Oryzias latipes: one gene and its partners. The protein of the gene in region 6 interacts with the protein of the main gene of each other region in a pairwise test. Links are inferred from orthologs where the notes say so. Each region holds a gene or a part of one and is shown on either strand. Other genes may lie near its edges.

Evidence for each region.
Region 1: the proteins of trim23 (region 6) and PHD finger protein 1 interact in binary tests that used the Homo sapiens proteins (3 or more experiments, as listed by UniProt). The two-hybrid records come from large-scale screens. The link is inferred for Oryzias latipes from reciprocal best matches to the Homo sapiens genes TRIM23 and PHF1.
Region 2: the proteins of trim23 (region 6) and atpaf2 interact in binary tests that used the Homo sapiens proteins (3 or more experiments, as listed by UniProt). The two-hybrid records come from large-scale screens. The link is inferred for Oryzias latipes from reciprocal best matches to the Homo sapiens genes TRIM23 and ATPAF2.
Region 3: the proteins of trim23 (region 6) and pitx1 interact in binary tests that used the Homo sapiens proteins (3 or more experiments, as listed by UniProt). The link is inferred for Oryzias latipes from reciprocal best matches to the Homo sapiens genes TRIM23 and PITX1.
Region 4: the proteins of trim23 (region 6) and tbc1d22b interact in binary tests that used the Homo sapiens proteins (3 or more experiments, as listed by UniProt). The link is inferred for Oryzias latipes from reciprocal best matches to the Homo sapiens genes TRIM23 and TBC1D22B.
Region 5: the proteins of trim23 (region 6) and usp20 interact in binary tests that used the Homo sapiens proteins (3 or more experiments, as listed by UniProt). The link is inferred for Oryzias latipes from reciprocal best matches to the Homo sapiens genes TRIM23 and USP20.
Region 7: the proteins of trim23 (region 6) and arhgef3 interact in binary tests that used the Homo sapiens proteins (3 or more experiments, as listed by UniProt). The link is inferred for Oryzias latipes from reciprocal best matches to the Homo sapiens genes TRIM23 and ARHGEF3.

The regions. Positions count from the first base shown.
Region 1 is NC_019874.2:28,769,451-28,774,299, reverse strand, and holds the start of PHD finger protein 1, read right to left. Parts: upstream 3,032-4,849; 5' UTR 866-3,031; intron 760-865; 5' UTR 609-759; intron 1-608. UniProt on the Homo sapiens protein: Polycomb group (PcG) that specifically binds histone H3 trimethylated at 'Lys-36' (H3K36me3) and recruits the PRC2 complex. Involved in DNA damage response and is recruited at double-strand breaks (DSBs).
Region 2 is NC_019877.2:3,256,266-3,261,012, forward strand, and holds the start of atpaf2 (ATP synthase mitochondrial F1 complex assembly factor 2), read left to right. Parts: upstream 1-1,563; 5' UTR 1,564-1,807; coding exon 1,808-1,931; intron 1,932-2,017; coding exon 2,018-2,062; intron 2,063-2,159; coding exon 2,160-2,308; intron 2,309-2,389; coding exon 2,390-2,487; intron 2,488-3,942; coding exon 3,943-4,023; intron 4,024-4,146; coding exon 4,147-4,259; intron 4,260-4,374; coding exon 4,375-4,490; intron 4,491-4,735; coding exon 4,736-4,747. Other genes in the region: gid4 (glucose-induced degradation protein 4 homolog), read right to left, coding at 1-13, 105-212, 563-622, 1,008-1,199. UniProt on the Homo sapiens protein: Plays a role in the assembly of the F1 component of the mitochondrial ATP synthase (ATPase).
Region 3 is NC_019872.2:3,654,781-3,658,401, reverse strand, and holds the end of pitx1 (pituitary homeobox 1), read right to left. Parts: intron 2,047-3,621; coding exon 1,498-2,046; 3' UTR 773-1,497; downstream 1-772. UniProt on the Homo sapiens protein: Sequence-specific transcription factor that binds gene promoters and activates their transcription. May play a role in the development of anterior structures, and in particular, the brain and facies and in specifying the identity or structure of hindlimb.
Region 4 is NC_019865.2:4,883,118-4,887,198, forward strand, and holds part of tbc1d22b (TBC1 domain family member 22B), read right to left. Parts: intron 1,575-4,081; coding exon 1,404-1,574; intron 1,241-1,403; coding exon 1,170-1,240; intron 1,066-1,169; coding exon 937-1,065; intron 858-936; coding exon 792-857; intron 1-791. UniProt on the Homo sapiens protein: May act as a GTPase-activating protein for Rab family protein(s).
Region 5 is NC_019870.2:7,738,562-7,742,642, forward strand, and holds part of usp20 (ubiquitin carboxyl-terminal hydrolase 20), read right to left. Parts: coding exon 4,042-4,081; intron 3,955-4,041; coding exon 3,886-3,954; intron 3,814-3,885; coding exon 3,656-3,813; 3' UTR 3,643-3,655; intron 2,446-3,642; 3' UTR 1-2,445.
Region 6 is NC_019870.2:3,058,369-3,062,942, forward strand, and holds the start of trim23 (E3 ubiquitin-protein ligase TRIM23), read right to left. Parts: upstream 3,055-4,574; 5' UTR 3,003-3,054; coding exon 2,910-3,002; intron 2,799-2,909; exon of another isoform or gene 2,774-2,798; intron 2,471-2,773; coding exon 2,308-2,470; intron 1,991-2,307; coding exon 1,869-1,990; intron 1,790-1,868; coding exon 1,511-1,789; intron 1,439-1,510; coding exon 1,256-1,438; intron 1,162-1,255; coding exon 946-1,161; intron 1-945.
Region 7 is NC_019863.2:32,612,839-32,617,488, reverse strand, and holds the start of arhgef3 (rho guanine nucleotide exchange factor 3), read right to left. Parts: upstream 3,216-4,650; 5' UTR 2,329-3,215; coding exon 2,291-2,328; intron 1-2,290. UniProt on the Homo sapiens protein: Acts as a guanine nucleotide exchange factor (GEF) for RhoA and RhoB GTPases.

The DNA of each region.
Region 1 (4,849 bases), on a different chromosome or scaffold from region 6:
CAGCAATAAAACGGAGTTTTATTGCTGAAATACTGGAATAATATTCCATAAAGCAAATAAACGGTTTTCTAATAATCTTGTTGAAATTATGTCAATTGCTTCAAATCTAATACAAGTAAAAAAAAATGATTGTGTTGTATTCACTTTCTGCTCCTCCCCTTTTTAATGCTTTTCTATTTTGAAGCAAAAATAGTCTGTAACTCTCATTTATATGCATACTTTAATTAAAGAGTCAATTGTTTAAACAGGAACAATTCAAATGTTTAAAACTAATTTTTAGGAAAGATACATTTCAGGTTAGGAGGCTTTTTCATCATTTAGTGTATCTATCTGTGTTTTGGCTTCCTCCTTGTTTGTGTCTCACACTTGACTCCCACCAGTCAGACGTGTTATCTCTGCTTCAAAATGGCCCCTGGCAGATTAAAGGCAGATTTCCCACGTGAGACCACCGGGGGGCGTTGTACTACCAGCTGCTGCTGCATCACAGGACAGCTTTGACAGAAGCTCCGGAGAGCAACCAGTAAACCCAAACTGGAAAGTCCTTGAGTTTTTCCCTTTTCTCTGTAGCACCAGTCTGCATTCAATCCTGGAACGTGGAATGTTTTTACCTCACTTTTCCAAAACTCCAATCCTTTTCACTGAAGAATTGGACCGTTCGTCTGCTCTGTTTTGATATCAACTCCTGCTGTGAGGAGCCAGGAAATCAGAGTTCTTCATCATTTCAAACATCCTGATTACTTTGGAGTCGCTGTGCGGAACCTGGGGATTACCAAAGAATGGAGCCTTTTAGTTGCAGCAACATTTTTTAAATGTGTTTGTGTAATTCTCCAGATTTACCAATCAAGGCTGGATTATTCTAGATCACCTGGCATTTTGGGATTTCCGAGTGTGAACCTCGCAGAGCTCTTTTCTCAGATGACTTTCTTCTCCTCTACTTTTCTTAGCTCAAAGTCCTTGTTCCTGGTATTTCCTGGACCAGGAAGGAAGGAAGTATCCAGGAACCAGCTGTGAGTTTGTGTTTGATAAGTCAACACTAGTTCATTTCACCCTGAGTTTAAAGCTCTTGTTTGGCATCTTATCAATTGTTTTTCTTCTTACCAAGTTGCATTGTTTTTTTATTAACATGTCATTTTCCTGCTGTGGTTTAATTGTTGATTTCTGTTCTTGCATCTTTTTGTGAAAGTCCCAGTAAAGTGCCACAATACTACATTTATCCAATATTCGATAGGATCTGTACTCATGTTACCGATGTAAGGGATTTATATATACATTTCTTGTTGTTTTCTACTTGGCATATTTCCACTTTAATTGGCTGGGACCAGATCAACAAATTTGAATTCACCCTGTGGTTAAATAATACCAAATAAAATCCTTGAATGCTTGAATTCCAGATTAATGTATTGTCATTTATTTCACTCATAGTATTTGCAGAGGAATACACAGGTGAGACCAGATGTTTTTCCTCACTAATATGACAGTGCAAAAGAAAATATAGCAATAAAATAGAATAAAATAGCAATCAACTAAAATAAAATGTCAAAAAAATAGAAACCAGCATTCAATCCTTAAAGTTAGTATCTGCATTTAGCAGCAGTATATATTGTGTCTTTGGGTGGTGCAGAGGGTGGGGGTAGTTTATTGGGTCTGATTGCGGTGTGGAGTTTGTGAGAGCATGTATGCAGGAGGAGGACAGTCTATGTAGCAGTCTCACTGCTTGTGAAAAGAAGATTTTACTATCCCGCTGGATCTGCTGCTGATACTCTTGAACCTTTTCCCAGATGGCATAAGGAAGAACACCCCATGACAGAGAAGCGGAGGGTCCCTAATGAGGAAGCTTACTCTGCGTATGGTGGTATGGGCTCCAACAATCTCGCTGACCGGTTGTTGGTCCTGAACCTTGCAGCTGCCAAACCAGCATGTAAGGCTCTGTGTCAACACGTTTTCATTGGTGCCGTTGTAGAAGGTGATGAGGCGAGGTGTTGGAATTCCTGCCTTCTTGAGTCTCTGGAGGGGATGGAGGCTTTTGTGCTTTTCTGGTGGTCATTTTGGAGTTGGAGGAGTGGAGTTGGAGTGAGATGCACCCCCAGGAACTTCTCCACAGCAACACCATTTATGGTCGGATGTGTGTTGTGGTAATTGCCAGATGCCCTGAAGTCGATCACCATTGATCTGGAGATTATGTCATTCACACCACACTGCTAGCTGCCCCACCTCCATTCTGTAAGCAGACTCATCATTGTCGTTTATGAGACCAATTACTGTTGTGCCGTCCGTAAATTTGACAATGTGGTTGGTGCTGTACCTAGCTGTGCAGTCATGCGTGAGCAGACTGAACAGCAGTGGGCTCAGGACACACCCTTGTGGTGTGCCTGTGCTCGATGACATGGGCCTTGATGTGTGTGTTGATCTTGACTGTCTGCAGCCCGTCTGTCAGTAAACTCAGCATCCAATTGCAGATTGCCTTCAGCTTCTCCACCAGTTGCTGTGGAATGATGGTGTTAAAAGCCGAGCTGAAGTCGATGAAGAGGACTCTAGCATAGGTGTTTTTCCTCTCCAGATGTGACAGGATCAGGTGGAGAGCAGTGGAGATGGCATCTTCAGTAAATCTATTTACTGAAGATGCAAGTTGTAAAGGGTCCATATTTATTGGAAGACTCTTCTTGATGTGCTTCAGAACCAAGCGCACAAGACATTTGGTCACAATGGGTGTGAAGGCCACGGGGCAAAATACGTTTGGATCAGACATCTTTGGGACTGGAGTAATGACAGCAGTTTAAAGACAGGTGGGTATAAATTCCTGTCTGAGTGATGTGTTAAAGATCTCGCTGAATAAATCTTTCAATTGCTCCATGCAGTCTTTCAGAGCCTGTCCAGGGATGTTGTCCGGGCCAGCCGCTTTGCGGTTGATGGCTGTAATGCTGTGTTGCTGGATCACAGCAGCAGCATCTGTGCCTGGATGGTGCTGTAAACATCAAACCATGCGTAGAAGTTGTTCAGTTCCTCTGGTAACCCTTGTGCTATCCTTGGCACTTTAACATTGGTAGTGGGGTCATCTAGACCCCACAAGACAGTGCGCTAAATTTGTGATCTCGACTGGTGTCCATGGATTACATGAAATCTTTCTGCCTTTATCCACCTTTGTCATGGTAGGGAGAACACGTCAATGTAAGGGTGGGGTCATCTGGACCCCATGGGATAGCACAAGGGGTAAAGGGCGGTTGTTCCGGCATATTGTCTCTTTCTCACACATGAAGTGGCTGTTCAGTTTTTGTGTGTACAGCTTCTTTGCCCCTCTAATCCCCTGTGACAGGTTCGTCCTTGCCAGACTGTACGCTGCTGCATCTCCTTATTTAAAAGCCATGTTCCAAGCTCTCAACAAGGAACAAACGTCTCCTGTTAGTCATGGTTTGCAATTTGATTTCTTCCTGACGGTCTTGACCACTGTCACATCATCCACACATTTCTTAATGTAGTCAATGACGGACACGGTGTGTTCCTTCAGGTTGGTGATATTGTCAAAAGTTGCTGCTGAATCCTTGAGTTTGATTTAACAAAAATGAAAAATAGCCCCTTCAGGAAGACTAAAAACCAACCTGTTGTTCTGGTAAACGCAGAATAAGTCAGTAGATGCTGTAATCTGTAGAACTGATGGCCTCTGTGACAGGTCTTTCAAAGTAAAAGCTGTTCTCAAATTGGTTGCATGAATGAAAATATTTAGATTATTAACTTTGCCTAAAAATTAATAACTTTTCATGGTTGGTGTGGAGCTTTTGCAGAAATCTGTGAGTGAAATTTATAAAACAAAAAAAAAACAACAAGAATATGAATCTAAAAATTATAAAACTGCTTAATTTACACTCACTCACACATATTTTTTTGAATGAGACACACTATATATTGTATGTTTTGGATATTACAAAACCACATTAGACAGTGTTGAGCTTTAAATGTTGATGGTAAAACACGGATCATGGTTTTCCTCTCTGATGTCAATCATTCAAGTCAAATGTACTTCAAAGGTTTTTTGTTCACTGAAACCACTTTGCTTTACAATTTGAAGAGAATTTTTTTAACAAGTTGAAATCAACCAAGCCCATTCAAAGCTGCTTAAAACCAAAAGCATCCAGATGTCTCCTGGACTCCTCCCTGGGGAGGTGTTCCGGGCATTTCCCACTGGGCGGAGACCTGGGAAAGACCCAGGACACGTTTGAGGGACTACGTCTCTCTGCTCGCCTTGGGATTCTCCCAGGGGAGCTGCAGGAAGTGTGTGATGGCTGCCTACGCTGCCACCCCATCAGAGCAGTAACCTCCTGCACCGCACCCTACATATATCCGTTCACTATATCTTTTCGCATATACTTTTAGATTTCTTTTTCACACACACATTTGAACATAAAATTGATTAACACGTTTCAGCTTACTTTATTATAATTTGCTTCATTAATTTGATGTTATGCTTTGAGTTACCAGTGCTGAGGGAACCAGGCCTGACACAAGAATGCATGCCAGTCAGCAGAGGCCTGATATTCAGCACTAAACCATCGGCCAGGGGACAATAAATTATCTTGTGTTGCTTTACTTTAGTTTCTATTTTGATGCTCTTTATTTTCATTCATTTGTGTATGTTAATTTACCACAGGATGGATATTAGTTTAGTTTGCTTGCTGTATTTTGTCTTAGTCTTTTTAAGTTCCCCCTTGTGTGTCTAGTTGGTCTGATCAGTCACTATATATGTTCCATTGTGTTTTCAATGAGGTAGGTCAGTTTAAGTAAGTTATCCTTTGTCAAATTCAAAGCTTGAGTTAATTTTGTTACTTTGACCTCTTTTAAAGGCCCATTTTTGCCCATT
Region 2 (4,747 bases), on a different chromosome or scaffold from region 6:
CCTGGAACTTGCCCTTGGTGCCAAAAGAGAGCGCATATAAAGTTACGGCGAGACGGCCACGTCGCCGCGGACGCCGAGCGTGGAAAAAGTGTCGTCTTACTTACCCAGTGCTTACGATCCACGTCCTCGTCTGCATCCCACTTTCGGGTGAGGAACGGCCTCTTCCTGCTGATGATCTCCCCGGCGAAAAAAGTGGTCAGGGTCGGATATTCCTACGAAAATGTGCAACTGGATTATACCAACAATCTTGTTTTGTAAACTTTACAGCGTTAAGGCTAGGTTATCGCTATGTATAAATCATTAATAGAAAATTAAGACGTTTAAAAATATTCTAAGCAAATCGATCCCTTAATTAAAAATATCTGCACTTCAGAGGCAGAACAAAACAAAAAACTATGTAGAATTATTTGGCTCACGATCAGTTGGACTAATATTTAGTCATTGCAAGAAAAATTACACAAAAGGTGGAGGAAAAACTTGCAAAAACATTTAAAATTCTAAGTCCAGTTCATCCACATGTACATATTCCAACATGAATCCTCTAAATATGAACAGAACTGACCTCTGTGAGTCCTTTTATTTTCAAATAGCCACACAAGTAGGAATCCTCCATTGTGACATGCTGTAACAAATAATAAACAGAACTTTTAGGTCAAATCTCCACTGAATTTATGTTAAAAAAAATAACAAAAACAAAACTTGACGGTCAGAAGCTGCAGTTTCTCAAAAAATGTCAACAGCCCCTAATGTTGCAACATTTAAGCTAGTTGTGATAGTTTGTGTTAATTTAAACTGGTAGAAAATTGTGCAGCTGGTTGTTGTTAGTCGGTGTTGTTTGGGCGCAGTTGCTCTGCTACTCCCACCACTACACCCACAGTTGGTCCAGGACAGGCCGGGACCCCCTTTTTTTTTCAGCTGTCACTCTTCCAGCCGCCACTTTGACACATCACCCGAAAGCCTCGCGCTCGCAGTACGAAAAGCAACATTTCCGCCTCGGTGCCCCCCACCTGTAAGACCACCTCAACGTCGTAGGAGTTCCCTTTGCTTTTCTGGTGGCCTCTGAACTTGGAGCCGCTGTACAGCAGCGACGTGACAACACCGGGCTGGTGAGTGTTTATCGGCGGCAGCGGGATAAGCGAGGCCGAGGATGCAAAGGCCGCGGCCGGGAACTCGCTGAGATATCCAGCGGGGACAGGCATAGCTCCAGCTTCGCAGGCTGAACTCCAACCGCGGTCAACGGCCGTGCGGCAGCGGGACTCGGTCAACCTGTACGACCAGCCAGAAAGAAAGTCCCGAGGAGGTCCTCAAACATTCAAATTGCTCTTAATTGCGCCACAGTTCAGTTTGCGAAGCATCAAGCTCCCCAGAACTAAAAGTGGACTTCGAAGCTGCGCTGTAACCAGTAGCAACGGCTTATCTCATTGGTCCAACAACTTCACCCTCGAAGATCGTCGACGCTCATTGGCTGAGCAGGCGGAAGAGTATTCGTGAACATTTTTGATGTAGTTTTTAAGTGATGTGTAAGCGTTAGCAGTGCCAAAAATAAACTACATTTCCCAAAGCATGCAATGAAAACATTTTGTAGCTTTGTAGCATCGAAGGTCACACGCGTGGTTTTGAACCGATGTGTTACTGTAAGCTAGATGAAAACCTTAATGTTTAACAACAGATTTATTGTAGAGTCAGGTTCATTATACACTCAAGATCTGTTTGTTCAATGTGGTACTTTAGTGCGTGAGAGACCGGCTTAAGAAATCGCTAGTGAATCGTCTTTTTTATTGTAAACAGTATACGTCCAAATTTAGGTATGAATATGTTTAGACGTGTTTTTCAACTTCGAAATTCCTTTGGAAATGTAATTTCAGTTTGCAAGTCGTGTCCCAGTCATCAGTACTCCAAGTGTTTGTCAAAATACTCCACTGCATCTACAGGTAAACGTGTTTATTTTGACATTACTATTATTAATTATCAATATGCTGTGTGCTAATCATGTGCTACATGTTTTGCTATTTGACAGAGAGGAAGAGATTTTATCAAGATGTCAGCATATCTCAAGGAGATGGTGAGTCTTATTTAAAATTTAAAATAATTTTATTTATTGTTCCAGGGAAGACCAAGATTGATTATATTCTCTAATTTTGTGACGATTTTGTCCATAGATGGTTTGTATGAAATAAATCTGGATAGAAGGAAACTCAAAACTCCAGGAGGGAAGCTGTTCACAGTACCAAATGAAGCCCTGGCTATCGCCGTGGCAACAGAGTGGGATGCTCAGAGGGGGACACTCAAGTTTTATACCATGCACCTTGTATGGGATATTTTTTCTGACCTATTTACACCACAGTGTGTAGCCAGCCGTACTCATATGCCGGTTGAACTTTTCTTGCAGACCACTTTGTGCAACACGGCTCTGGACAACCCCACCCAACGCAACAAGGAGCAAATGATCAATTCAGCGTTGAAGTTTTTGGAGACTGACACGATCTGGTATGGATTTAGCTTTTATACTGTTTCTGTCCAGAGTTGATGATTATTTGGCTCATTTATGCCGGTTACTCAGTTTAAAAGATAAAACACCTGTATTTCAAATCAATATTTTACTTGAATGGAGAAAAAATGTTCTTAATCTAGAGAGAAAAGCAACAAGGACTTCAAAATAAAAGCACCTAACAGAAATACCAAAACAATAGAAAATTCAAAATTAGGTTTGTTTAGATAAAAAGTACCCAAACAAATCCTGGACTTGTGAGATGCAACTACATCTAATATGTTTTTTTTTTTTTCTATTTCTCTTTGTAAAAAATAAAACGTTATCTGCCATTCTGTGCTCTTTTTTTGCAATTTTTTTTGCAAATAATAGTCAAAATGCAATTACTTTTTAGCTTTTTGAAAATGTTCGAACCTATTAATATAATTTAGACTTTTTTTTTCATTATTATAAATTATACTTGTATAATGAGATATATTGTTTAACTGTCAACTATGTATTAGATAATCCCTTTAGTTCTTTAAATTTATATATTACATATTTATTTATTTCCCTTGTCTTTTTAACTTTTTACACATATTTAAAAAAAACTTATTATCTTATTCAGAATTTAATTTAAACATTTTATTGTGGTCCTGAAATATTCAACTTCTTTACACTTGTCTGCTTAATTGTTTTATGGATACCTTAGTAGTTTTAGCAAACAGATTTGCATCAGTCTTTTATTTACAATTATTATGTTTTAGCTACTTTATTGTGTAGGTGTGAATTTGTAATACATTTATTGGCACTATATATCTTTTTACATTTTCTATTTACTTTAGCATATTAGCTTAGGATTTAGCAACGTTCACTTTCTTAATTTCTTTAGCTAATTAACAATTTTATTTTACTGTTTTTTTGTGTTGATCCTTTTGTTATTGTGATTATTATTAATAATTATGCAGTGTATTTTTAGTTATCTCCCTTTATTTGACTAATGTAGCATTTTGCACTAAACTGTAATGCCACTGTAAAAGAAAGCAGATGTTTTTAGCTTATTGCAGAAAACTAGCATTTTTGTTTATGGAAATAAAATAAAAGAAATGAATTTTGGAACTTCTATGAATTTCATATACTAGATATTTGCAGGAGAAACTTTTTTTTCTCGGTCCATTGTCAGATGATTCCAGACTCCAAAGCATTAAAAATAAAGAATTACTGTGAAAATGAATGCAACAAACTTTTTCTTTGACCTAATTTCTTTAATAGGACCATCATTGTCTGGCCAGTAAAGTGAAAGCAAGGTCTGTTTTGTTTTCACCGGAGATGGTTGCCATATACCTGACTGTGGAGCAGGCTGTGCTGCTCTCTTATAGCATCTGCCATTTGGCTGCCTCTTTTTTTTAAGTTTCATTTTCAGATTAAGTTACCTTGTTGTCACAAAACAGTGATTTATTTATGCTTTGATTCAGTTACAGAGTGGAGGATCCTCCTGGTTTAGTGGACCTACAGAAGAACGAGTGGGATCCGGTTCTGCACTGGATTGAAAACCGGTAAAAAAAATAAAACAAAAGCATTAATCTTCACATCTTGTGCAGTAGACTTCCAAATGATGTAGGAACTGTCTCAGTAAACCATACATTATTATGCATTTTCTCTGTACTATTGCATGGCAGATACAATGTCACTATTGGATCTTCATCGAGCATTCTGGGTCCTGAAATTCCACAGGCAACCAAGGAAACTTTTCGACAGCATCTCAATTCTTACAGCCTCTGGTCCCTGACGGGTAAGACATCTCAACTCCAGAAAACGTGATCATCTATAGATCTCAACTTGTGCAGGCTGAGATGATGTATTTATTGTTTTTGAAATGTTTAAGAATTGTGTCTGTTTCTTTGCAGGACTTGAGTTTGTGATCTCGCAGCTGAAGTCTATTTTGCTTTCACTGGGGATGGTTGACCGATACCTGACAGTGGAGCAGGCGGTGCTGCTCTCCAGACTGGAGGAAGAATACCAGGTGGGAAAAGTCCATTTGATTTACCATCAATCTTTTATAATATTTACTATACTAAGACTTTTTTGTTTGATTTTTGTCTGTTTTAAGAAACAGATATTATTCTATTAATACAATGATATCTAACTATGTAGTGGGAAAAAAAAACCCCATTGTAACTAGGTTTATTTTATATCAAATTTGTTTTTTGAATATCTGTTGTTTAATGCTCTTTTCTTGAGTTCAGAACTCTGTTTTTCTTATTGCAGATAAGTCACTGG
Region 3 (3,621 bases), on a different chromosome or scaffold from region 6:
AAAGTAGGAGATAAATGTAGAAATGCATAAAAAGACAAGTTTTATAATTAAAATTAAAATAAAAAAATAAAAATTGACGTTCAAACGCTTCTTTACACCAATTTTCGCACACTTAAGCAGCAAAAGTGCGCTGTGTGCTGTCAGAATCCTGTGTAATGGTTCATCAAAGCGCGGGCTTTACATTTGGATCTAGTCACTATCAGCATAAACACACAGTTATTGCTGCGCTGCCGCTAATATCAGTCTAATGGTTAGTAATATAGATATGGGGATTCCTGCAAGTGTCAAAAAACAAGATATGCTTCCGACTGATTCCAAGTTTGACTCGCAGTAAACCGGCATTTTATTTTGCTCCAATAGTTGAAAACATTTGTTTCTAAAACATTGCAATTGAATCCAAAAATCAGTCGTCTGTGCTTTGACCTTAAAGAGCCATAAAACACGTTTGAAGACGAAGCGCGCAGGTGCGAAACTCAACTGGGTTTTTGCGCCACGAGTTCAATCTGAGGCTCAGTCAAAATGTCTGAAATAAACTTTAACGTTTTAACCGCATGCAACAGTAAGAACATTTAATGTTTTCTTAAGTCAAACGTGTCAACATGTTTTATTTTGTATTAAACACTGACAAATGCGTATTACTTTGACCTGCAATCAGTGAGCAAAATGCGTAAAACCAATATCTGCAGGGTGGGTGAAAAAAAAACTGGAAAAAAAACAACCCACAAACCACGTGAATTTTAGACTTTAGAAAAGAAAACAAAGAAGCTGTGATCTTTTAAAAATCGTCCGACTCTTTTACTTTAATCATTTTAAATTAATTGGACAGATTTCCTGCGCTATTTTCTGCACCTGTTCTTTGGAAAAAGCAGAGCGCCAAACAATGACTCCCCTAAAAGCTTCTTGGAATAAACCTCTTCAGCTGGAGTTTATTCAAACAAACACCGTAAACACATGAATCATGTTTGGAATACACTTAAAGCAAATTAGTTTTTGCAAAATATTACATTATTGTACAAAGCACGTCAGTTTAAACAAGTGGGTTTGTTTTCCCCATGTTCTGTTTCTGGATGAATGGAAAGCATTTGGGAACCGCAGGCGCATACTTGAACCACGCATGTGCACAAAACAGAAAGCAGACAGTATCAAATATGCACAAGGTGTTTTTTTTCTATGGTTCTTTTAAGGTCGACATTTAGTTTTAAATTCTTGTTTCGGTCTAGTCCTCTGCACAAAGGTCTGCAAAAACAAGCAAGAAAAAGGCAAAAAAAATCATCTTATTAGACCTGTATATATATTTACATTTACATATGTACAGTGCAGCAAATGTAACAAGTCCTTATAATAAAAAATCAATACATTTCAATTGAATTGCTGTGTAAGTTCACAGGTAAACGTGTAACCCGCATGATCCTTTGTTTTCTTTCAGAACATGATTGCAATAATCCAGTTGGGCTGTTTGATTGTGTTGGCGTCCTCGGGTTTGTAACATCAAGCCCGTCAGCTGTTGTACTGGCAGGCGTTCAGGCTGGAGCCAGGGCTCTGCAGGCCGCTGTATCCAAAAGTCGGATGCTGTTTGGACTTCAGTCTGAGAGTTGCCAGGCTCGAGTTGCACGTGTCCCGGTAAACGCTGTACGGGGAGCCGGGAGGCCCGTAAGGACAGGCGGACGACGACATGGCCGAGTTGATGCCGGACGTTCCGATCCCGTTCAGGTTGCTGATGTTGTTCAGACCCGGGGTGGGCATGCCCGGCACGGCGGAATGCCCCATCCCGGAGGCCATGGTCATGGAGGAGATGGAGTTGGGCGCAGAGAACATGGACTGCGAGGTGAGCGGACTCATGGAGTTAAAGAAGGTGAAGTTCTTGGTGGAGAGCGGCGCCGGCGCGAGGCCCTTGTTGGTCCAGTTGTTGTAGGTGTAGGCCGGGTACATGTCGTCGTAGGGCTGCATGAGGCCGCTGAACTGCGGCAGGTAGCTGTTCTTGCACAGGTCCATCTGCTGGTTCCGTTCGCGCTTCCTCCACTTGGCGCGGCGGTTTTTGAACCACACCTGGAAGACACGTGCGCGTTAGTGCGCAATGCAAAACAGTGGGGTGTCACCAGAGCCGTTACCATTGTTACTATATCACGTTAAATAAAAATTTTAAAAAATATTATTTGGGTTTCCCACTTCATCAAAGAACCCACACTTGTGTTCAAAAAAATATTCATAACTAATAATTATATAAAAAACCATAAACTTAAAAAGGCGGACGTCATTTTCTGGTTTTTAATAATAAAAATGTAATTGTAATTTTTAATTGTATTTTTTATCTGTTCAAATAAAGGTTTATTAAAGTTGCCAACATTTCTTTACAATGTTAAAAAAAAATAACGAAGGCGAATTATAATATTTCTAAATTGAACTTTATCCTTTTCAATTATGAAAATACATTTTTACCTAATAATATTAGTTTCTAGAAAAACATTTTAAAAAAATGTTATAATAAGAAAAATATTCACCTTAAATCTGTAAAAAGAAAACGTCGCAACGTCTAACACTGGAATGTACATCTTACTTTTTTCATAAGTATTGATGAACGAGTTTTTTTGGGGATTTTCTCATTGAATCACAAAATCCATTTTGATTCAACTAAACTACACTAATTGAGAACAAGACAAACGGATACATATTGAAATGAAAGCTTAAAATGACATTGAAGTTTGTCTCTGGTTAAGATCAAACAAATAACCTAAAAAGGTCAGAAAAGCATAAAAACATTTGAACCCGCTGATGGTCAGATAAAGGTGCGCAGCTGTAAGTTCGCTTCTTCCCTCTCAAGCAATAAATCAAACTAATTATAATTAATAATTATATTCTAATTATCATATTTAATTAATCTAATGTGGCCTATGTGTTTATGCCTTACAGTAAACATTTCCATATATTATTATGAGTAATTAGATTTTAAAGAGGGAGGCATCTTCATACGTTTTTTTATTTCTGTAATGAGTTCTGTTGTTGTCTGAGAGTCTAAAATAAACCAATAAATCACATCAAATCAAAGTAAAGCCTTTAAACGAAAAGGACTAAATGTTAAATAAATGGTTCCAAGTCTGCAAAAAGCAAACTTAGTAACCTTACAAAATAAGTGCGCTTACAAAGAGCTATAAGCTCAGCCAAATATAAAGCAGGTCTCACTCCACTCCACTCGATCTGAACTTTTCTTCTTCCTCTTTCAGTCTTTTTCTCTCTATAGACTGAATATTTTGATGCTATTTGAGATTTGTCAAGCTCGGTCTGTCGGGCGCCATGCATCTGCTGTAAATTAAAACCAACTGCAGCTGTTTTGTTTTAAAGGCGCGTTTGGTGCGTAGCTTTTGCAAAGAATCTGAAGAAATGGCTGCGTGTTGTCGAGTTGAGGACGTGAAGCGAGTGGAAACAGTTTGTTTCAATGTTTGTGTCGATTGAAGCTTTTAAAATAAATCCTCTAAAATTCAGATAACTTTTATTTAATGAGGTCGATACTGCATCGATGCAAAGGTGAGAAAGTGTGGTTAAGAGTAGCCATAAAATTAAAAAGAAGTATTAAACGCATACACACAAAAATTAAATTAAAAAAGCGATCTTCCTGCAAAAAACGTA
Region 4 (4,081 bases), on a different chromosome or scaffold from region 6:
AGTTTGTATTACAGGCCTTCCATATTTACTCAAACGTTTATTGATTTTGCTTTAAATTGTTCAAATGTTGTTTTTTTAGCTCTGCTAAATGTGTGACCTGCTTCACTGTTTGGGTAAACAGAACTTTAAGGGTGTAATACACAAAAAACTAAAACTTGGACTCCCTGAAGGTCAGGGGGCCACAGCTTTTGCAGCAAGTCTTGCTTTTGTCATGGCAATGTGGGAGGGGCAGAGTCACAGACTCCATCAGAACATAATGTGTTGCTCACCTGAAGTTTGAGAGTTTGAATAAACCAAAATACTTGTCAAATGTTTTTGGTGAAGTTCCTGTTTTTAAGTGTTTAACATGTTTGCTTCAAAACAAAATCAAACTATGTCAGTTGTGCTGCGATAAAACTGAGGTTGAATCATTTCTCACAAATCTAAATTTGGATCAGCTTGAAGCCACGTTTGAGGAACGAGCTGAGGTCAGTGCAGATCGTCTCTGACAGCAGAGTTCCTCTGAGGTTTGGTATCAGATGCAGCTTCTTCCTCTGCGGTCACCACATGCACCACGTCATTTCTGCTTAAGACGAGCTGTGAAACAGGAAAAAGCACAGTCTGCTCTTGTTCCGGTCTCACTTTAGATTGCGGATGACGTCTTTTCAGACTGGTGTGGTGGAGGCTGCAGGGAGCTGACACTGAGCTGATTGAGCCACTGACTGATGCTGAACAGATGAACCCAAACACGCCGAGACAAAACGGTGAACTTTTCCATTTAAAGACAAAGAGGCCTTTCGCGCACATCTAACCTCTTGCACGGCGGGCTGCTGGAACAGCGGAATCAGAGGGTTGGTTCTCGGAATGTCGATGTGGATCTGACAGAAAGAGGGTCCAAAAGATTATTGCCAGAAGGTCAGAGGTTTGTCTTCTGTGTGGACTAAAGTTCTGCCTCACCTGTCTGTACGTGTCTTTAAAGTGCTCATCTGTTCTGGAGTGATAATACTGCTCAATGAAACCAAAGTATTCCTCCCGCTTTCGGCGGAGCACCAGCTCTCTGCGCTCCTTGTTGGCAGGCAGGTATCCCTGTAAGAAGGTCAAGGGCAGAAAAAAAGAAGATGATGTTTCCGATGGGTTAGGGGAGAGGTTTAGACTGATAAACGTTGCACACTGCAGGTTGGGAGCCTTACAGATAGAAGTCTCCAGGTGATCGGCCGGACTTCTCTCGGTATTCCAGACCAGCTATGCTTCCGGAGTTCCTCTGTGAGAGGGAGGGAGGAGAGAGGACCTCAGTCATTCCGGGTTTTCTCTGCAGACCTCACAGCAGAGGTGGACAAACTGCAACAGCTGTTCAAACACTCAAAAGTGACACTCCTGATGTGCTGACTGAGATCTACAAGGAGGTGTCTGCGGCGCCGCAGTACCGAGGTCAGTGTTGGGACTCGCCAGCAGCTGCTTGAATTTGTCCAGCCGGTTTTTCTCCCGCACCGTCATGGGGGGGGCTCCTGAAGCATTCTGGTCAGAGATGCGAGCCACCAGAGGGATGATGGGACGCACGGGCAGCGACTGCTGCTTCTGCAGGGGGGAGCGAACTGCTGAGGAGAAACAAAACGCCCATGAACCTCTGCCGACTTCAGTAGGGGATAAAACACTTAAGGAGGAATGAAACCATAAAGGCCTTTTGCTCAGAGATTTTCAGCACATATCAACAGTATGTTTCCAAATTCAACGTTATCTGTAGAGCACATTTCCAGTTGAGCAGCACCTCAAAGTGCTTTTTACATCATGAATAAATAATAATCCACCACATATGCACATCAAACCCATCTGAAACAAAAGAAACGCCCCATGAAATCAATAAAAGATTCCAAAACAAAGCTGACAGGGCACAACAGCAACAGACGAAAAGGTAAAACTTACTTAATAGCAGCTAAAATGATTACAGCTTTTCTTAAAAACTGTCCACATTAGTCGAGGCCCTCACGTCTGTTCTGCAGGCGAGGCTCACGGTTCTGGAATGAGGCCTCGCCGTGGGTTTTTGTTCTGACCCCAGTAGACGTGTACCTGAGGGCTCCGGGAGGATCATAAACTAAAAGCAGTGCCTTAAGACTAATGAAAGAATCTGACAGGGAGCCAGTGCAGACATTTCAAAATTGGTGTCATGTGCTCCTTCTTTGTGGTTAAAAGGCCAGCAGCCGAGTTTTGAACAATTCACAGCCGATTATACTGGGATTCATTTTACTGGTCTCTATCATCCACCATTCAAATCTGTGCCTCATAACAGAATACTGAGCAGGCAGAGAAACTTTGCATTTCTTCTTGTGACTGACGTGAGACAATCTTGCTGTTTTTCTAAAACTGCAGGCTTCTGAACGCTCAAGCAGATGAGGGCATCGTGGACTCTCCCCACTGTCATTTCTGGGTCTTTTTTTTTTTTTAAACAATAGGTGTTTTTTCCTTTCAAATCATTTTTAATAACATCTAGTTAAATTTTTTTTAGTTATTTTATTAGTAACCAAATTCATTGAGTTTTTAAATCTGCAAAGTGTCATTTAAGAAGATTGAATATGATTATGATTATTTTGTAACACAATGCAGGTAAAATGAAGATGAACAAAGATTATTCTAAAATGAGAAACAAAAAAATTATGTCACCAGTTCTTACTGACTCGTGTGAATGGATGTGGCTCAAAACTTTATCGTTTGAATTTAATTTCCATTTTTATGATGAGGAATCATCAGACGGCGGGAGTACAGATCTGAACTTTACTGAGAGATAATCTGGAAGAAGAAATCAAATAAATAGAGCTCAAGTTGTTCCCGAAGAACAAAAAAAGCAGGGACTCTTCTGGGCTCCCACTGTCTGACGCTGAGAGTCTCATAAAACTGCAGCTGAAGTTATTGAAAAGCTCCATCATCTCTTTCTTCTGGTTTGTTTACAGGATGAGTAACTGCAGGAGGGATTCAGGTGACCTGTGAATGGAGCTGCAGGTGTTTGATGAATGCAGCTGCTCATAAAACAGACAGACCATCTGCATAAAAGAAACTGTAGGAATGAAAAAACCTGTTCTTATTTATTTGGATCAGTCCATATGTATCAGACTAAATGGCCCATCACAGATCATCTAGAACCCTCAGATCCTCACATGCTGAACTTTAAATGTAGAACAAGAACAAGGCTTTGCTTTGGTATTAATGGTCCCCGTTTAAGAACCCTGAAGATCTCAGAGCTTCTTTGCCTGAGAGGATCTGTCAAACTGTGTTCAACTACAGGAAGGAAACTTACATCAATAAACTCTATTTTTTTATTGTTTTGTTAAGTTTTTATAGAACTTTTTACTAAAATACAAATTGAGCGGTAACTGTTGATGGATTATTATAAAACATGACGTCAGATTTAAGGATCTAATCCAATGAAAATGGTACTTTTGGTCTTTTCGGAGACATTTTTCTGATGTTGAAAAAAATGTATAAAGAAAATTAAGCATAAAAATGCATTTTTGAGTATTTCTTTATATAAATAGCTGGAGCAGAGGAAAAAATGTCGATTGAAAAAGATGGTCTCAGGCGGGCTACAAGCTTCCTGCTCTGCTCCATTCTGATGCATCCACCTGCAGATCCATGAACGCCTTCGTTTTCCTTGTCTGAGCTGGAATCTGGATCCAAACTGGACGGCCCGATAGCTCCGATATTGCTCGCCATTTTTGTCACGCCGGAAATGTTAGGTGAGGGGCTGAAAGCTAGTCCCACCCACAACTCAAAGGTGAATGAACCTTTGAACTACTGCTGCTCTGCAGAAACTATGTCCTAGAAAAAAACCCACACGGTTTATGGATTTTGGCTAAAAACTGCATTTTCACAATTAAAAATAGATCAAAAAGAGGATCACAGTGAGTCTTTAAATCATTATATTTTGTTTGGTTAGAGAAACTCTTCTTTGTGGGTTTAAACAGTTCATTTATACATGATAAAAACATTTTTGTACTTTTTTTGAAATTCATCTCTTTTTTCTACAATCCAGCTGCCATCATTTGAGTAACAGTCTTTAATTTATTCTCTGTGCTTTCATCCTCTCATGAGCACAAATGTTCATGTGTTTGTA
Region 5 (4,081 bases), about 4.7 Mb from region 6:
CAACAAGAGCTATTAATTACATAAATGTAGTAATTACAACCCAATATATGGATTTCTGGCAAAGTTTTTAAATTTGCTGTTGTGTCAATACATTTTAAAAGGCTTTTTATTTTCCAAAATAAATTTGAATAATTCTTGCAAATGTCTTTTTTGCAGGGTTTCCAAAATAAAATGACATTCTAGGCGGTTTCTTTGTGCAGCTATAAACGACTCACAGATTCTGCATTTGAGGAAGTACAAAGCCCTGAATTTCATCAATACGATCACAGTTTAAAAACCTAAATTTAATTAAACACTATCGTAAAATAACAAGTCAAAATAATTACATAGTTGGATCTGTAAAGCTTTATTTCCTGAAAGTACCTGTAGTCAAATTGATCCAAATCTTTTCTGTTGGTGTCATTCTTTTGTTACAAGGAGAAATGTAATGCAGAACCTGGAGGGGAAAAAAAGTAATACAACCTTTACTTATTAATCTTAAATTCTAATTAAGATCTCTCTTAATCCAAGACTTTTTCATGTTTTTGCTTATTAAATTTAAGCCAAAAAAGGATAAACCTAAGGTTTTTTAGTAGTTCCAAAAAAAGTAATTTGTCAATTTTTAAGTCTTTTTAATCTTTATATTGACTTGGCTTAGATTTTATCCAAGGGGATCCAGTGCTGTAGTGAATTTAGTTTCCATTTAACATGGTTTAAAGAAAACAACAATTTTTTAACTACATTTAACAACAACAAGGCAGTACATTTTATTAATAAATGAACAAAACAGACTTAAATGTACTCTGAATTACTTTTGTTGATGTAGTTATAGGGGCAGATAAAACACGTTTTCTTCCTTCTGCTCCTTTTATCTTAAATTTAAAAAAAAAGAGCAAATTAAAACTGAAGTATTGATCAAGTTTTAGCTGGTAACAAGCCGTTTTTGATGATTACATACTTCCATCTGTACATTTTAGACAGTAACCCCAATATGATTTTTTTTAGGGATGAAAACATTTTAAACCCTCCTGTGACATTAAAACTGTAAACCTTCGGTCAGATTGCACCCTGAGAGTCATTTGAGTTGTGAACTTTATGTCAACTGAAAATGTGCATGCATATGCATATGCGCATATATATTTATAAAATAAATATTTTACAAGTATTTCTATATTTAAACAAACAAAACCAAAAAAAAGTGCTTCTTTTTTTCTTGTGCGATATCCATGATTGCAAGGTTATCCATGTCTAAGAGAACGCACGTCTCTGTGATTTGACACCAAGACAATGGAATTTGGTGGGAAAAGCCTAATCTCGTCTCAAAGATATCCACCTCTGTGAAGAAAAAACATTTAAAAATGTAACTAAGATTTCAATATTTACACATGCACATGTTTTTTTTTACAGGTGAAGACTGGGTGTTATTTGGGGCTCTTGTATGAGAACATGGAAATAAAAGAAAAGAGAAGAAAACATGTAATGTAGATCAAATTATTAAATATCTTTTGGGTATTTTAGGTTCCTTTTTTTTTTTTTTTTTTACAACACAGTGGTTAAGATTCTGTCAAATGAGTTGTTCAATCGTAAAAAAAAAAAAAAAAGGAAGTAGTTTGATTTAATGAAGAAGCACTGCATGCCATTTTTTTTTCTTTTGCAGTCATCTCAAAACTACTTTTAGTCATGTTCTAAAATGGAAAAGATTACCCTGTAAACTCTTCTAAAATGCACTTGCAGTAATACTTTGAAACAAAATGTTTTTCGTTGACTTTATACCTGTGAAAATCCTTATCCAGTGGTAACACTTGCATCAACAAAGCAGGAAAAACTTCAAGTAATAAATCGTTTTTATGCACAATGATCCTATCAATGTTATCTTAATTGCAAGGGCATGCATTCTGAGCCCCAAAAAAGGTCAAATTTAGTCTCGTGCATGCATCAATAGACAAACTCATGGTTATCTTACTGGCCAAACATAACCAAACGGATAAACCTCCAGTCTTTAGGGTTCAGTGCACATTTCAGGTTTACATCTTTCACGCCTGCGTTTGCAGCAACTTGTACAGACATACAACACAAAGCTTGTTAATGAACCCTTGTTGCTGTCGTTTACACTAAAGCAGATAAAAGTCTTGACTAAACTTTAGCGTTTAGTCCCCTGCAGCATTGTGGGTCGTAACGCAGGAGGCCGTCTGCCTGCCATAACCAGTAAAGCGGTACATGACGTATAGCCACTACAGCAGCCACGGAGACACCACATCTACCAACAACGTCTTAGTAATGGTTTGTTTTCCAAAATGCCCAAACACTGAAGATCAAACTGAAGGATTTGAAGGTTCCTCCTCTTATAGCCTGGCATCAACTTAACACGTTGCTACATTTACAAAGTGCTCACAATGCGGCTTCTTCACCAAGGTGCAAATTCCTCAGCTTCATGTAAGGGCTGGAATCAAGAAGGAACCAGAAGACCTGAAAAGATGAAAAAACAAATAACGCAAAATGAAAAACTAGGAGCCAACTTTCAACAAGTTCAGCTCTGTTTATTGGCCCCTTCTTGGAAACATCTGTAGAACTATTTCTCTCCGCTGGCAAGAAGGAATTTGTGAGCTGCAGAAAGTCGTAAAGTTTTTGCTTCAAGGTTACATGAAGCTCAGAGCAGCTCACAAATGCAAGTCACTCCACATGGAGATGTTCAGAGAAATGTGTGTTACTCTACTTTCACCTGCTCTGGAGTCATTTTTGCCTGAATTGTCTTGACTGCTAAGTTAGTAACTTCCATTCCTCCTTGCAGAGCTGGTAAACGTGAGTTAGAGGGCGTGTGTTATTCACACATGTCCTTTTCAAGGCTGCCCGTAAGCTTTCTATTTCTTTATGATTAAAGACATACTCCACGCACTATTTGATCTACTCTAAAAGCGCTCCCTCTGGTACTTCAAATGTGATTATGCTATTTTTAGCCAAGACAAAAAAATCCTGTGTTGTTTTCTAGGACAACTGCATAGCACCAGTAGTTAATCAGAAAATCACCCTCTGAGGGTGGGCGGGACCCTTGGCACGGGGCAATCCTACCCCACTTCCTGTCAACAATAAGGGAGCTCTCTGTGAGCAGTGCGACCTATCCAGGTGCACAGTTTGGAGCTCGGAAGAGGAAAACCAAGACGTACGTGTGGATGCATCAGAATGGAGCGGAGGAGGTAGGCTCCGGCCCGGCCAGCGTATTTTTTACGTCACAATTAAGCTATTTTTTGTCTCAGAATTGCAATTTTAAATCTTAATTTTCCTTTATTTTCCTATTGATTTTTTAATTTTCCTAATTTTCCTAACAAAAACATGCTTAAGAACACCAAATTATCATCGGAGTGGGTCTTTAAATGGAATTTTAGAAAATCGGAAAAGCTGTCCCTTTGTCTTGCTTCTCCACAAAGATTTATGGAGGCAGATTTTGGCACAAATTACTGTTTGTAATCAAATATTTTAAGTATTTTTTTCCTTTTGAGGTAAGTCCTAAAAAAGTTCAAAGTAAAAGCATTTTTCTACCTCTTAAGAACTTCTTCTCAAGGGCCTTTATGGATAAAAAGTTTTACATTTATGTCTTGAAAAGTTCACAAATGTGTCTTAATTTCAGTGTAAGAGCATCTAAAACCGTGCAGAAAACAAACTTCCAACCTCTGTATTTATTTCAAAGTGCTCTCGTCTCTGCTTCAATCTTCCTCTCTCCGTGGAGGCTGTCGGGGTCAGCTGGAGCCACGGTTTGCCTCACTGCAATCTCTGGTCCGCCTCCATAAATGCCCAAAAGGTACTGCCACGTCTCCTCTGAGATCTGACCATAATCTGCGCCTAATTAAGAAAAAATAAAAAAGTTATATCTTCATTTTTCACACATCAGTATCCATCGGTGCTGGTGTTCACCTTGCTTCAGCTGTATGTGTCCTCCCTTCATCACACAAATTTTACTATTGTCGATGGGACCAGGCGGCTCTGAGATGGCACACAAAAAATTCATTTATTTTTTTAAATTAAGAAAAGTAAAGAAATAGGATTGACAAATTCATTTGGAAGTGATACCGTTGTCTTTCCCCTTTACAAAACTCTCCCACTCCCTGAA
Region 6 (4,574 bases):
GTGTTGTGTTGTGAGTTAATCTGTTGTGAGTTATTGTGTTGTGTTGTGAGTTAATGTGTTGTGTTGTGAGTTATTGTGTTGTGTTGTGAGTTAATGTGTTGTGAGTTAATGTGTTGTGTTATGAGTTAATGTGTTGTGAGTTATTGTGTTGTGTTGTGAGTTAATGTGTTGTGTTGTGAGTTAATGTGTTGTGTTGTGAGTTATTGTGTTGTGTTGTGAGTTAATGTGTTGTGAGTTAATGTGTTGTGTTGTGAGTTATTGTGTTGTGTTGTGAGTTAATGTGTTGTGTTGTGAGTTAATGTGTTGTGTTGTGAGTTATTGTTTTGTGTTGTGAGTTAATGTGTTGTGAGTTAATGTGTTGTGTTATGAGTTAATGTGTTGTGAGTTATTGTGTTGTGTTGTGAGTTAATGTGTTGTGTTGTGAGTTAATGTGTTGTGTTGTGAGTTATTGTGTTGTGTTGTGAGTTAATGTGTTGTGTTGTGAGTTATTGTGTTGTGTTGTGAGTTAATGTGTTGTGAGTTAATGTGTTGTGTTATGAGTTAATGTGTTGAGTTATTGTGTTGTGTTGTGAGTTAATGTGTTGTGTTGTGAGTTAATGTGTTGTGTTGTGAGTTAATGTGTTGTGAGTTATTGTGTTGTGTTGTGAGTTAATGTGTTGTGTGTAAAGTTAATGTGTTGTGTTGTGACCCTTCTGGGCCACCGAAATGTAAAAATAAATGCAAAAAAAGTTTAATGCTAATTCACCCGAAGCTTGTAAGGCAGTTTAAAAAATAGCAAAACACGAAATGACATGTATTTAAAAAAATAAACATGTATTTATAGATAAAATGTACTTGAGCGTGTGTCAGAATTCCAAATTAAAGTTATCGAAATGATGCAAGAAAGAAACCTAAACCTGCCAGAAGGAAAACAGACTTGTGAGCTGGGATCTGAAGCACAGCTACCTGCTGAAGAGTCTTCTCGCAGTGCAGGCAGGCGGTGGAGACCTGCGACAGCAGGATGGTCATGTCCTCCTGCTGCTGCCTCAGCCAGATGAGCCTCTCCCGAACGTGGGCGTCCACCACACTCAGCGCCATCTCCTCCTGCCGACACAGAGTCTCGTGGAGGTCTGAGAAGTAAGCCCGGACGCAGGAGCGCGCGCTCTCTGCTGTGCCGGGAATCTGACGAGAAGGAAAACAAAAAAACAAAAAGAGGTCACGATAGGGGAAACTCTGGAGTCATGGTTTCACACTGATGGATGCGAGGTTTTCTCACATGCTCGGTGTGCGCCATGCCTACGCCATCCTCCACGATCTGTTCTCCTCCTTCTATCTGCTGCACGATGCCCACCAGCTTCCTGGAGTACTCGGACACTTCGTCTGTGAAGCTGCGGATGCAGTGGGCCATGTCCAGGATAGAAGCTCGGATCTGATTGGCCTCAGACTCAAGGAGAGCGTGCTAAAAGAGAAAAATGATACGCATTAGCATTTCAGATCAAGATCCTGACCCTGAAAGGACGCCTTCGCCTACCTTATGTCCCTGGTGCTTGCCATACTCCTTGCAGACGCAGCACATGAGAGGCCCGGACTGACACGCCTCCTCCAGGCACACAAACTCGATAGCATGGACCTGATGCTGGGGGCAGAGCATCTTCTCGTGAGGCTTATCGGCCAGCGGCACGCGGCGGTGTTTGGCCAGCGTGCGAGTGGAGTGGGTGAGCTGGGAGCACTCGCCACACAGGTGGGTGGCGCACACGGTGCAGTACACGGAGGCTGTGTGGCTCTCGTCTTCGTCACACCGTATTATACACTGGATTAAGGGGGGGAGGAATGAGTGCGAAGAGAAGAAACTACAGAGGCAAAGCACAAGTCCCCACCCACCCACTCACTTCTCCCATGCCCTTCAGGGCGTCCTCAGACATTCCTGACTGGTTGGTGGCTCCATTCTGGAGTCGCTCCAGGAGTTCGAGCAGCGCAAAGTTCTTCTTTAGGCCCCAAACCCCCGAATCTCCTGAGCAGACGTGAAGAAAGAAAACGTCTGTTTTAAGAAGAGGTGCCAACACAAAGCTCAACTGTTGCTCTACTGATGAAGATTGCATTCTCAGCGTCTCATGCACAACTCTGCATATGTTAGCTTTACGTGAGTTGCTAACTTATGGAGGCGGTGAGCCGCAGACACATCTGCACTCTGGATCCATTCTGTGGTTCAATGCTGAGGGTTAAGCAGGGGGTTTTTGAACCAAAGACCTTCCTGTCTCAGGGGCGGACACTCTACCGCTAGTCCACTGAGATGGGTGAGGCGCGGTAGCCATAGCAACCCGGACTCACCCAGCTCCGTGACCTGTCTGTCAAAGGGGCAGCGGACCGCCCTGCCGTGCAGGGGCAGCCGGGTCAGGCAGTCGTGGCACACCGTGTGACCGCAGAGCAGCAGGCGGGGGACCTTGTCGCCTTGGAGGGAGAAGACGTCCTCACAAACTCCGCACTCCAGCACCTGAAAAAGGGACGGACACCGAGTGGAAACATTTTTCCACGCTGCAGGAAACAGCTGCTGCTCGTTTCGCCACCAACGCATTAGACTTTTCAGCAAATAAACAATATAAAATGTAATCTGAAGCATTTTTTCTAAATTTATAGCTACTTTAACTTTAAGCTAGTGGCACCTAGCCTTCGCACCTCAAATGTGTCGCAAACACCAAACCAGCCTTTTAAATGCTCTAGAATTAAGCAGGTCTCATTCATTATAGTTAAAAACAGTGTTATAATGAATAAAGAGATGCACGCTGCACTATTTTACACGTTTAACATCCACAGGCTACGCCAACGCAGCGGCTTCTTCTTCTTCATCCTGCTAGCCTCCCTGCCCTCGACTCTGATGCTGCCCCGCCGCAGGAGTCCGACTCTAATCAGAAAATAAAAGTCACGATCAGAACCTTAACGGTGCTTCCGTTCGCCCCCCTCCCGTGTCGAAAGCAGGGCTCCATCGTCACCACGGTGCCCTGCTTGTTTATTCCCGCAGCCGCCATTCTTAGACGACAGTGCAGAGGACCGGGCCAGACCGAGACTACATTTCCCAGCTACTTCCGGTTTCGTCTACTGAGTTTTGTTGTGAACAGGCAGGTGTGAAATCAACTTCCGGTTCCAATTAACACTAATGCGTCCGTTGTTTTCCTTTTCTTAAATTGTAAAAATATTGGATAAAAATAGAAACAAAAAAATGAAATATTTAATAATAACCAATTAAACATAATTAATACATTAACATATTGTAGCGACCTGGGGGTTAGCCCCGCCTTCAGCCCCTAAGGCTCATGGGAAGTGGGGAGCTTAGGTGAAACCTTGAGTCAGAGGGCTGGAAGCTGAAGTTAGGCTCCGTGCTGTTTGGGCTGTATGGTGTGCTAGAATAAACAGGCTTGTTGCATAAAAACTAATATTGCCTCTCTCTACGTTTCTTCCAACTTGAGACTGTAATGTGTCGTACGGTGTATGGGGCACGGACAGCTATCCATTAGAACCTCTTCATGAGCAGTAGGCTTTCGCTACCCCACTAAAGTGACGGTCCGGCCGGATCGTTACAATATAATACATGACTTGTATGTTAATTACCATAAATTATACATGATTAATAATGAACGTTTTCGTTCTTCTAACATCGGATCAATTTCACCTGTATAATACAGCATGTAAAATGTGTATTAAGGATTTATTTATTTTATTAGTTTATTTGACAAGATAACCTTTTGCACATGAAAATGCATCTTTGCAAATTCACCAAAGTTAGCCAAAAGGTTATTTATCATCTGTCGTACCTGGACAGGTAAAACAGTTGTCTCCTAAAAAACAATTTTACCTCAACAACAAAAATACAAAATAAACATAAATGAGAATAAGAACTTTATAACATCCGTAAAAAGGATAAAAATTCAATTTAAAAATAAAAGTGTAATAGAAGGAATTTATAAGCACAAAAGAGATTAAGCTGATATAAGGAGGAGATATAAGGTGTACAAAAACAAATTAACAATGATTATGAGGATGTGTAAAATGGAATACTACTATTACTAGAGACTACATTACCCATCATTCTTCAAGACTAGCTTCTTATCATAACAATGTTTTTGGTGGTTTTTCTCTTCAAACTGAGAAAAGAACAAAATATGACAACAGGCTCCTTTTCAATAAGATTATTAACATTTGTGAATCTTAAAAACTATTTACATAAAGCATACTTAGCCTATTTTACACCTAAGTATTTATGTTACTTGTTTTTCTTTGCCACCGTTTTTGCTATAAGTCTGTATTATGTTATGTTTTTTATATAATTTAATTTTCACTAGTTTTTTTGTATTCTGCTAAAAAAAATTACAATAAAGTTGTTGAAAAAACAGTTCCACAGACTACTGTCTCTTGATGATGACGTGTTTTCGGCGCGACCTACTTCAACACAAAGCAGCTTCGTGTTTTCGTCTCCAAACCCCCGCATTTGTTTTTATACTAAAACGTCATGCTTCATGCAAACATTTTGCCTGTCGTGGGTTTATATGTTAGCTAAATTTCTGCAGGACGTCGATTTGTTCTCTCTTTTTTTGTTATTGTTT
Region 7 (4,650 bases), on a different chromosome or scaffold from region 6:
GTTTTTAATTAACATTTTAAAACATGTTTTGTACATGAAGATTAACAGTATTAACTAGTATAGTTATACTCTATGATTTTATTTTATTTTTCAATATTCATTTCTTATGATCACTGGTCTCTACTAAAATGATTGTTTTCTGTTTTATAAAACTTTTTCACAAAAACTCATCAAACTCTTGAATGGCATTTCTCCTACGCGTTTATTCTGAATGATTGTTATTATAATTTAATTTATTTTTGTTTGTATATAATCTCTAGAAGCGTTACGGTCTTTAATAATAATCTGCACCAATAGTTTGCTTTGGCTGCACAGATTGTAAAAGTTTCAAAATAAATGACCTCCATGGTGGGAACGTGTTACAGTTGGACTGGGAGAAGAGCTCCCCCTTCTGGCCTGATCCTGTTACTGCACTCGGATCTCCTCCAAACAAAGTGGTTCTTCCCAGCTTTGGCTCAAATCTAACTGATGATTGGATCCACAAATCCTGCTGCAAAAGAACCAGATACATCAACCGCTAACTTGAATCCTTTTACAGTTTTTAATATAGTAAATAACTGTTCCTGAGAGACTTGGCTTCATTTGAAGCTTTTGTGTATTTCAGCAGCATCTTCTCCAACCAGATGTGAGTCTGTAGCTTTTTAAAGTTATCTGAAGGACATGATGGTGGATGATGACTGCTAGTTTTTGACATTGAGTCGAATGTAAAGATCCTAAAGGGGGGGGGGGGGGCTTTACTGGCCTCTGGATTTCATCAGAGCTCTGCAGCCTGTGGTGAAGCGGACGCTCTCTGCTCGTTTCAGAGCCTGAAAATGACTCAATCCTTCCTGGGAGTTGTTTTTCCAGAAGGAAAGGCGCCCCTCCCTCAGTGCATGTCCGTCTAACTCTGAACACGCTCTTTAAACCGTCCGACCTCCAGCGACTCCAACCAGGAACGGCGAGCATCGCAGATGCAGATCAGACGTGTGTCTGGCTGCAGGTTCCATTCCTGCACCTCATCCTTTCCCCTCATCTGTTTTCAATAGACCCCACCCCTTCTGTCCATGCAGATGTGCCCTTTAACCAACACTCCAACAAAAAAAGAAACATTTTTATGAGGAAATAAATGTGGATTCAAACTTAAGATGCTGTTGACGTCAACCTAACAGGGAAAATATTGACTCTATGAGGAAAACCTTTTTTTCTTTTATCAGAACAGAAAATAATGTTCACACTTGTAGTGGATCCCAGAGCATAAGCACCACCTTTCACTTTCCAAACCCGGGAGCCTCTGAAATGATTGGCTGTCCAAAAAAAGCAGCTGTACATCATTTATTGCATCCTAAAAACACGTGCTTTCATGATTCTCAGGTCAAACTGTTTTCTAAATGATTTTTATTTTCTAGAAGCTGGAAAAGCAGCTGTTTTGGGTTTATTTAAAAGAAAATCCTGCAGATCTCCAACAGAACCGTCCAAGCAGAGAAATAACTGTTGCTTCACATAAACTGCAGTCACTTCACAGAAAATCAAGAACATTTACCGGGAGGTTTAAGAGTCCGAGTCTGAATCTGAACAAACCTGATCTGCTTGTTTGTTTTCTGCAGAAAATCAAACACCAAGTGTAAAGCACGGTGGTGGTGATGTGATGATCTGGTGTTGCTGTGGAACCCGGATATCTGGATGAATTCATGCCGTTTTTAACTTCATCTGATGTCAGCAAAAGCGTAAACTTTAGTGTTTGCGTACAAAGGTGAGAATTCTCCCGTGAGGTGAAGGTTTTCAGCCATGAAGTCACCTTGGGTCAGGACCTCTGATTGGTTGACGTTTTGCATCCTTTACATACCTTTTTCTGCTTTTCAAAGGAGCCCAAAGAGACTTTAAACTTCCTCCTCTCCCCAAACTGGTTTAAAGAAACTTCTTCAGCTACTCAATCCCTAAAGAACGCTGACGTCACAGCACAACATGGAAACGACCTGAAACACCTGCACGAGGCAGCAAATCACCTGAGACCCAAACGAACTGGCAAAAACAGTCCGATCACGTGATAACATCAAAGACATGACGGCTTTGATGTGGACTCCCGTTCACACGTTTGTCAGACGTTTCCTCTCAGGTTTGGATCATAAAGATCCAGATTCTTCTGCAGTCAGACTCGACCGGGAAACCTTTTCTGTAAAACTTTTCTAATTTTGTCAAGGAGTTCTGACTGAAGAAAGGGTCATCCGTTTCAAAAGTTTTACTTTTTATCACAGACATTCAAAAGGTTAAACTGAAATTCAACAAGAAAATCGCAGACAGCCCCCCCCCTCACCTGGATCCCCGCTGGCATCCATCATCACCTGCCGGCATCGGCCTGCAGCTCCTCCCGCGGAGCAGAAAATCTCAGGCGGGGAAAAAAATCCGCTTTGTGGTGATTTCAAACACGAAAGAGTCCAGCTAAACCTCCACGAAGTCCCGCAACCAACAGATGGAGAGGAAGGAAACATTCCACTTTCCTCCTCTTTTCAAACGCTCAGCTAGAAACGGTCAAAAACCATCCCGTTTCCGGTTGCTACTTCGAAATAAAAGCACAAGTTGAAGCAGGAAGCTCAACAAAATAAAGGTCATCCACTCTTAATCGGACGAAACAAGTACATTTGAAATGTAATCCATTACAATTATTTAAAGTAAATCCCTAATCGGACAGTCTGTAAACTGCACTACACAACACCTGGATTACTTTTATTAACTTTGACGGGAAAAGAACAGCAGAAAACAAATTATTAAATGAAACTGCACAGATTTTACATGTCAAAGGGGGATTCTATGGTCGTGGGTCCTTTACTGCTGACACAAGGAACATGAGAACAGAACCTCAATTCCTGCTGATTCTACACCATGAGAGTCGTGGTACGTTTTCCTCCTCCTGACACGCTCTTCTCTCTGAATTCCAGAGGTTCATGAACCGTCATGGATGAACAGAGTCCTGCTGATGTTTTCACAGTTGGTCCAGCTGGAGGAGCAGCATCAGCTCCAGATATTTTAGGCCATGGAGGCTAAACAGGCAGAAAAAACAAAGTCTAAATGGAGCCTGAGGCCTTCCAAACGCCAAACTAGAGGATTTCAGAAGTCTAACAGAATAAAAGCCTCAGTCCAACTGAAGACGGGGAACTCTGAGCAGAAAAAAGACAACTGCTTCAGAGAGAAATGCTCTGTCTATCACGCCGTGGGATGGACAGGAAACTCTCCAGCATGGATGTTTGTGATGCACTTCCTTTATGGATCAGATTTAGTTTGACTTTTACATCAGTTTGAATATTTTAATCAATATTTTAATTTTACTCATTTGCTGAATTTCTGATTGTTTTTCTTATTTAGAGTCAAAGTTGAGTTTAAAGTTTTGATTTTTGAAAATAAAAATTCTGTTGTTAAAAAATGACTATAAACCAACCAGTGAATGAGATGAAGCAGCAACAACACAGAAATACAAACACAAATGTGACAACAAAGGTCTTTGAAGTATATCTGGTTATCCTCTCAGGCATATTATAATTATTTTCACTCTTTATTTTTCTGCACGTTTGCACTGGAGTCTGCGCCGTTGGTCAAAACGTCACATTTGACAGTAAATAGATGTTGAAACATTCCTCAAAAGTCTAAAGTCTTCTTAGGTCTCTGCCTGCAAGTCTCCAGTTCTCAATCCGTGATCAACAGGAATTAAATAACTGGAATACAGACGAGCTACAAACATTTACCTCATGAAGCAGTAAGATTTACTCTTTAATGTGAAAAGAATTCTGTTATCCTTGTTCAAAAAACAAAAAAGGCATCGAAGGCAGCTGAAAGGTTGAAGCTTTTATTTTGAAGGTCAGCGTTTGGAGTTGCCGTGCACTGAGCTTCTGCCTGAGTCCTGCAGGCTCCTGTTGTTTTTAGCATCGATGCCTCAGTGCTCACGCAGAAAAGAGCTGCTGTTTCACGTCAGAACGCAGATCCACCGGTCAAAGCAAAACCGGTTTCTCTGCTTTTACTGCAGGATCATCAGCTTCAGCGCAGCTGAAACATTTTCATGGTTCTTCAGTCACGCAGAAACCACGTCTGAAACACGGTCAGATGCTGCCCAAAAACAGATTTGAAGTTTCCACCGGAGAAAACGCAGCAGAGATCGAGAAAAAACTTCTGTGAAATAGATTTATTCACTTCCTAAATTATTGTAATAAAATAAAAATAACAGTTCACATATAAAAACAATTCCAATACAGAAAGGATCGTCTACCTATACAAAACGCAAACATTTCATGGGACAATATTTGCAGGTTGGAAGCAATGTTTTCCATGTATGAAACAGAAGACAGCGATGGGAATCCGAAATAATACAAAAGTATTCAGTCAGAAACAGACTTTAAAGGGTTAAAAGGGCCTAAATGAGTTCTTGTTACAACGGATGCAAATGAAAAATTACTCAAAAACGCAAACATGATTACATTTAAACGTTCATGTTTGTTGTCAGAAAGAGGTGAAAGTCGTGGCTAAAATGCTTTGAGTGCAAATGAGAGTTTACAGCTTTTTAACACGCCTGCTTGGATGAGACCTTCATCCCAAAACCTTCAAGATGCAATGAGAGACACGGCAGGAGACAGCTGGAGGTCTGGAATTGAAGTCTTTCAAACAAACTTGCATAAAAATAAAACTACT